Oryzias latipes: one gene and its partner. The protein of the gene in region 2 interacts with the protein of the main gene of each other region in a pairwise test. Links are inferred from orthologs where the notes say so. Each region holds a gene or a part of one and is shown on either strand. Other genes may lie near its edges. The genes, in order: ppp2r5a and zinc finger protein Dzip1.

Region 1 (3,920 bases), on a different chromosome or scaffold from region 2:
GTTACAAAAGCAGTCTGTTGATGCTACTTTCTTTCCTATATTTTGTTTTTACCATTTGACTGCATAAAGTAGCTTCAGAGACTTGACTGGACAAGTTCTTCTCCTGAGCTTCGCTCTTCCTCATAAAAGACAGTTATTAAACTGTTGCAGCTTGTCAGAACTGAAAACATTTTTCTAAATTACAGTTCACCCGAAGAGATTATTTCATTTGCAGTGTAACACTACTTTAAAAGTTCATAAAAGCTGTATTTTGTTAAAAATCAAATGAAATAAAAGTGCACATTCTAGATGTGAAAGTAAGGTGACTTCAGATTAGTTTTGACCTCAGGCTTCAGGAATCCAACTACTAGAATGCTCTTCAGGTGTGGGATTTGAACACATTCCCACGAGGTTGCGAAAGAGATAAAAACGGAAATATGGATTGGCTGACAAATGTATCCTGGCAGGTATGCATTTGAGCAACTTAGAATTTATCGTGTCAGTTAGAGAACATTTAGCTGAACACGATGTAAAAACCGTCACACCAACAAATCGCGTGTAGCTCTTAAAATTGTTAGTAAAACCTGTGAAATACCATCCAAGATGTCAATACTGTTTGCTGTGAGGGAGAGTGAATATCAAAAACTCCACACGCGCTGAAATAATAAAGAAAAGATGTGCCACATTTAATGAGCAAGGCCTCCACCCTGCATGTCTGTCCTTACCTACAACACACAACTGTGCATCAACTAAAAACAGACAGCAAAGTTTCATCCTGGCCACCCTTATTATCTCACACAGTGTCACATTTCATTTGACGAAGTCTCTGCTGCACAGGACCGAGTCTCTGCTGGCAGGCAGCCACTCACTTAAGGCCACACATGTCTCTTTAGGACAAATGAGGCGTAAAATGAACAGGTCAAAAACAAGCCAGCGTGCAGAGGGCGACTCCGTCTGATGCACTCTCGTCTATGAGTCACGTGAAAGTGTTGGCTTCTCTTGGATTTGGGTCGGGCAAACCGAATGGATGGGCCGTGGTATCTTAACGTGGATATCCATGGCAGAACACCTTTTGTTTAGCGAAAAAGCCAATCCAGAAATGGAGATTTGATTTATCAAAAGTCTAAAGCTACAACTTGTACTGACTTATGGTGAGTCTGGGATGAAAAAGAAAAAAAGTGACATCAACTCACAGTTAAAGTATTTTCAAGGTGCTTTCAAAAATGAGGGAGAATAATTACTAAACAGGTAAAATAAATAAATGAAAACACACAACAGACAGGTAACATTTTGCTACCCAACAATCCTGCTGCCCAACATCCAGCCAGTTATATGTGCTGGGTATTATCTGCCATTCTGACTATAGGTTGCATTCCAGATCTGAACATCCTGCCGTATGACAGTGGTCAGCACAGACTATTTAAAGCGGTAGGCCCCTTCATCCTCTTACCGTACCTTTGAGCTGCGGCAGCGGGGAAAGCTCCACTGGAGCGCTTTGAGTGCGGTACTGCGAGGAACCCTGGGATTTTCTCTGTCTCTGCGCCTTCCGCACGGACTTCCTCGTGAAGCCGTCCACTTTCTCGGATGCTGAGATGGTCGACATTGTAATGTTTAAAAAAAAAAAAATCTGATGGAGATTTCTGGCGAGCTATTTATCAGATGACACGAGCCCGTCGCTCTTTTCCTTCCCCGAGTCTTGTTGTTATTGTGTATGATCCATCATGCTCACTCGGCTTCGACGAACTGCATCTCATGCAAAACGAATATTTAACGCAAAATGATAAACAGAGACCCGCACTAGCCTCATAAATACAGCTAAATCCAAGTTCCTGAATACCCCGCCTTTCTTAAAGCTTAACAGCATGTGCACAAATGTCTATTTACTGTGAAAAGCAAGGATGACATAGTCTTAAAAAAGTTGCTCAAATGCGAACTTCGGCTGCAGCAAAACAGTTAAGAAGCTACACTGACAGCTAACGCACCTAGCTAACCTGCTAAATTTAGCCGACGTTATGTGCCGAATGAAAATCTCTAACGCTGTCGAGGAAATAAAGTTACAAATATACCCGATAAATGCGGATCTCACGGCGCGTCGTTAAAATACGAACTTCGCGAATTAAAATACTGTACAATTAACCCAACTTTGACTTCCGCTGAGCATATTTTCCAAACTCTCTTAGAGATCGATGAAGTTCAATTTCGCTCGACGCATTCATTCAGTCCTTGAAGGTTCGCCTCGTCTGCACGAGCATGGCTTTGCCGTCTTCGCTATTCAGAGCACGTCAAAATCCCCCTAGATGTGTCTAAAAATGACCAAGAAACAACTTCGTTACGGGGAAAGAAGGCAGCCATAAACACTCCCAGTCGTTCCGTCGCTGTCTGTCTGTGCGCTGGCCTGAGGGGCGATGACAGGTGTACGTCACTGTTTGACGTCTCAGGCAGCCAATGGGAAGAGGGGACTCATAAAGTGGAAACTTTTTTAGCCAATCAGAGCGCGAGAAAAACGGGACTTAGAAAATGCAACATGCAAAAACAACTGGATGACGTTGAATGAGGCCTGAAAGGCGGCTGTAATGTCAGACACATTTTTCTGTATATTATGAAAAATTTAAAGTTCTATTTAATTTTTGCTTGACTAAATGTTCCCTTAAGAAAAGTCAAAATAGAATATTGTTTGCCTTATTCCGTGTTATAGACTGAAATTAAGAAATGTTCAAACTGTATTTTAGTACTTTTTTTATTAGCCAGAAAATTTTTAGTTTACTCAAATAATTTTTTGTTTTCCGTATTAGACTTTAAATTAAAGCTACTCTTCTCTATTTGTTAAAGATAGGTGGGAAAAGCATTTCTTTGACAATGCAAGAACAGGCAGAAAAATGGAGTTTAATTCCATATTCTAGAACACGTGTTGTTAATATTTGCAGGTCTTATGTCTGTATGCAGACAAAATGTTGTCAACAAACCATCAGTTGGATGCAACGTTGTGTGCACCCTTTTTGTAATACATGCTCTGACTAGCTCGGTATTATGTTATTTTTCTTTATTCACTTGGACAGTTTGATCCTTTATTAATAGACTTATGTGGGTTCTAATAAGCGGACAAAATTTAAAAGGATTTATGCTAGAGTAACAAGCAAACATATGTTTTCTATGCAGCTGCAATTGTCACTTTAAAGGTTATAATAAATACATAATGAGCTATTTAACATTAAGGAGTAGTTACTTTTTTTTCATTGCATTTAGTTACATGTATAAGTTATATCTGGCCATTTGAGAACAGCCACTATGCTGATTTGGTTCGCGGTGAAAATGAGTTTGACACTCCTGTTCTAGCCAATTGCACTTTCATTTCAGGTTAAAAAAAAATCTAATCTTTGACATTAATTTTAGCCCACATGCTTTTTTTAAACTAATATAAAAATACCTGACATTATAAGTGGCATTATAAAGGTTGTGGCATTTTTGTAACCCATCTTTCACCCCCACTGATAACCAAATTACAACCAAATAACAAGCTAAAAGTATCAACACCCTTTAAAATTCAAGGCAATTTGACCAAAGCATTTAAATACAGATAAACCAAAGAAAACTTTTACAAATGAACGATATTACATTAAAAGAAAATGTTGAAACCATGCAGTTAAAAAAATACTGACATGAATGGTTTGCTTGAATCTGTTTAGCTAACATTTTGATAGAAAATAACATTTTTGCAGAATTTAGCACATAAATATACAAATCCTGCAGATGAGCCCATCAACTGTGTTCTCTTGGATTCAGTGCTGAAGCATCTCTTAAGGCGTTTGTTTAGAATAAAATGGCAGATATAGAAATGTTTTATATAGAAATTCTAGACAGCAACAGAGAATACAAAATGGCAAAATAAGACAAAAAAAACAAAACAAAACTGTTCTTTGGATCTTAGATCGTTTATGCACCCC
Region 2 (3,820 bases):
CTGACTCTCTGCAGCAAAACCTTCTTACAAATGTTCGTTTGCTGAAACCAATCAGTGAGAAGTCCATTAAAAAAAAAAAAAAAAAAAAAAGAGAGAAAACACTCACTGAGATCTCCTCGACCTCGTCCTTTCTCGTAGGCAGGACGCTCACGCCCCCTGCTGGTTTCTTCACAACCCTCTCTGCAAACTTCTCGATCTTTCTGGCCATCTCATTGATCGACGTCTCTAAAACGTAGAATGACTTTCAGCCACGCGTCTCACCGAACCCACCCCCCCCTGTCTGATGCTCACCCTTCTGGTTTCTCTTGCTGCTCTGGTCCCTGTAGCCCTGCAGCGTTCCTAGTGTGATCTCCTGCACCTCGCTGACCTCCGTCAGATCCTCCTCCTCTTCCTCGCTCTCCGTGTCTTCGATGTCGGCCCTGGTGACGGCGTCGGCGGCTGGCCGGGCCTGCCGAGGTCGGGGTTTGGAAAAAAGCCCCACCTCTTCCTGCCGGGTCAGGACCGGAGCAAATCTGCCCGCTCTGGTGGGCGGATGAGATCTGCTGGTCGGGGGTTTGGAAGCGTCCTCTTCCTCCATGTCTTCCTCCTCGGACTCATCCGAACTGAAGGGATGGCTCCTGAAAAAGAAGATGAGGAGAGAAATATGAAGAAGAAGAACTCACGTCCTGAAGCAACCATCATGAAGGTTTTGAAAGCTTAATGACGGTAATTTAGTAGTTTTATTAGAAACAAGTACTAAGACATCTGTCATGTGTTCAGTAAAACATCCAAAAATCGCTCTTTACAAATATAGTCAAGTAGAAATACATTTCAGGCAGTTAGGGCCAAATGAGTTTCTTTATAGTCTGATAATCTGTGATAAGTTCCAGAAGAATCTTAGTGGTGTTGCTGTTTTACAATCTTTATAATAATATAGAAAAGTGTTTTAAAAATAGATTTTGGGCAATTAGGGCGAATCTGTTCCAGAAAAAACGAACATGAACATGATCTTTATAATGCCAACGTCACGTTATTCAGCTGCCATGGCGCCGTGGGGTTGGTTTTTATTGCAGCAACATTAACTCAGTTTTTCTGTAAATCCATTGAAGGATTTAAAAAGCAGCTTTGTTTAGAATTTGAGTGTTCGGCATCTGGTAAAATAAAAATAAAAAATGTTTTTAATTTAAATAATTTCGCAGGAGGCCTGAATATTTAACAAACTATTGCTATTATTGATATATTTAGGATGAAATAACTGTCCTAATGGATGCGATAAAAAATAGTTTTTGCTTTCTTCCAAAAACATCTCTAAAGCTCCCATCGCTGCAGAAAGGAGCATTTTGGAGAAGAAAAGGATGTTCAGACGAAGCCAGAACGCACTTGATGACGCGTGGAGCCTTGGGGTTGGGTGTGGACGTCTTAGGCTGGGTGCTGGTTCTGGTTCTGGGTGCTGGTTGGGGAGTTCGGGGCTGTCTGGCTGTGGAGGGCAGGCTGCTGGATCTGGGCCGGATCTTCACCACTGGAAATGAGAGAAAAGCCTCAAAAATGAGAGGAAACGGCTCCGAAAGCGGAGGTGCTTGAGATGCTACAGAGACCTCAGATCACTGAAAGTAGTTCTCCGCTGGTCCTGAAGACTCTGGTACCTTGAACAGGCTGTTTGGATCTGGTCTTTGCGGTCAAATCTCTGCCTCCACTCCTAACGCCCAGCTTCTTCTCCACAATTCTGAGGATCTCCTCATGGTGGCGCCAATACTCAGGCATCTTCTTTGCAGTCATCTCCCGCTTCGCGCGCACTTTGGACATGACAGACGTGAGCTCCTTGCTCTTCAGGCTGCTCAGCTTCTGGAACACAGCGGGAATGAAAACGGGATTCTGCTGCCGAGCAGGTCTTTTTCTCTGTCAGACTTACAGCCTTCACCCCCAGGCTCTCCAGCTTCTTGGCCACGCTCCGCTCCAGCTCGAGGCGCGTGTCTCTCTTGACGCTGGCGCCCACTTTCAGCGCTGCTTTGGGTTTCCTCTCCGCTGCGGGTTCAGGCTCGGAGAGGCTGGAGTCCGCTGGAGACGGGTCAGACAAGGTCAATGAGCACGGACACAAACACGAGGGAGAAGAACGGCGAGCGTGCTCCCACAGACAAGCCACAACAAACAAACAACAGCCAGAGCTTTGTTCTTCTGTCACCAAAGAAAATAAATAAATGAAGGATGGAGCTTCATGAATCCAGATTCTCTTCAGGCCGTTTTTTTTTTCCCATCACTTTGGCTCATTTCTTGAAAAAAAAAAAAAAAAAAAGGTGTACAGATCAGGGGCGGCCGTGGTGCAGCTGTAGGGCGGTCAACCCATGATCGTACAATTGCAGGTTCGATTCCAGCCTTGCTTGCATGCCCATGAGTCAATGTGTCCTTGGGCAAGACACTGAACCCCACCTTGCCTCTGGTGGGAAGTTGGCGCCAGTGTTCGGCAGCGAAGCCGCCACCAGTGTGTGAATGTGTGTGTGACTGTAAAGCGCTTCGGGCCTTGTAGGTAGAAAAGCGCTATATAAATATACGCCATTCGCCATCACAGCATCCTTGTGGATTTTCCCCCTCGCCGCATCGCAAGGGATGTTATTCTGTGTGACGTCGGCGGGAAAAGACGCCCAGGGATACTTTCAATCTGTGCATTTATACAGTTCCTGTTCAGCTTATTTGACTGTATATCTTCTTGCTCTGAGACTTTTACTTTACAGTAAAAGACACAAATAAAAAAATCCGGCACAGCGGCGATTTCCTTGCCAGTGTGAGTTCATTACGTGTTTCCTTTTCAGCTTGATTCCCTTTTATATCCCGTCAGCCCGACATGAGGGGTCGGCGGTTTTACGGTGAAAAATGTCAAAACTTTGTGATCTGCGGGACCAACAGAACGCTAAAGGGACGGTACAAAACTTAGCTTCGGTGCACAGATGAACTGTTTTGGGAGAGATGTTTTGCTGAACCCTACAGACTGTTTTGGCAAAAGCACAGGAAGCTTTGAGGATGTCATTTCTGTGTGCAGAGATGAGACAAAGTAATGGAGAAAAACTGCAAGATTCAAACAGATCATTCAGAGGTTTAAGAGAACTGAAACCTTTCCTGTCTGAAGGACTCCGTTTCTGATCCGATGCGGTTCTTGTTGACCCTTTTGACACCGGAGCTTTAACTCTAGTATTTACGCTCTTTTGACTACCTTAACTCGTCAACCGCAATTCCAGCAAAGTAAGGAAAAGCAGTTTTGCGCTGATAAAAACTTTATGCTGGTAAAATGAAATCAGCGTAAATTATGAAGTCAATTAAAAAAAAAAAAAAAACTAAGAAAACTCTGCTGGCATTTTTATTCCTCATTCTTGGACATTTTTTATTGGGACCTCCAGTGGTTGTTTAGTGAACTGCACCTTACTTCCAATTATTTATTTACAGATGAGCTTCAATGGGGAAGTTGAGGGAACTTCTCGGATGTTTATAAAATCAGAACTAAAGTCATTAATCTGTCATTTAATGACTTTAGGATCTTGAATTTCGTATTTGGCAAAGGATTCTGTGTTTGTTCCACTTCTTTATATTTACATAAACATAAAACTTGAGTTTTTTCTTCAATTGTGTCTTTTTGTATGATTCATAGGAGCTCAAATAAGTGTCCCTTTTCTCCATGTGGCTCATTCACTGGCAGATGTGAACATGTTTTGGTTCTTTTAGGCTCATCTTTGCTCAGTTCAACCCTTTAACACCTGAGCTGTCACCGGCGACAGTGAAAATGAAACACGCTCTTTGAACACATAAGCAATGTTTTTCATATCAGCACAAAGCTGCTTTCCTCCGCTTCAGAATC

Evidence for each region.
Region 1: the proteins of zinc finger protein Dzip1 (region 2) and ppp2r5a interact in binary tests that used the Homo sapiens proteins (3 or more experiments, as listed by UniProt). The link is inferred for Oryzias latipes from reciprocal best matches to the Homo sapiens genes DZIP1 and PPP2R5A.

What each region holds. Positions count from the first base shown.
Region 1 is NC_019882.2:6,276,952-6,280,871, forward strand, and holds the start of ppp2r5a (serine/threonine-protein phosphatase 2A 56 kDa regulatory subunit alpha isoform), read right to left. Parts: upstream 2,385-3,920; 5' UTR 1,583-2,384; coding exon 1,435-1,582; intron 1-1,434. UniProt on the Homo sapiens protein: The B regulatory subunit might modulate substrate selectivity and catalytic activity, and might also direct the localization of the catalytic enzyme to a particular subcellular compartment.
Region 2 is NC_019860.2:16,456,786-16,460,605, reverse strand, and holds part of zinc finger protein Dzip1, read right to left. Parts: intron 2,035-3,820; coding exon 1,889-2,034; intron 1,822-1,888; coding exon 1,623-1,821; intron 1,499-1,622; coding exon 1,360-1,498; intron 618-1,359; coding exon 292-617; intron 226-291; coding exon 107-225; intron 1-106. UniProt on the Homo sapiens protein: Molecular adapter that recruits protein complexes required for cilium assembly and function to the cilium basal body.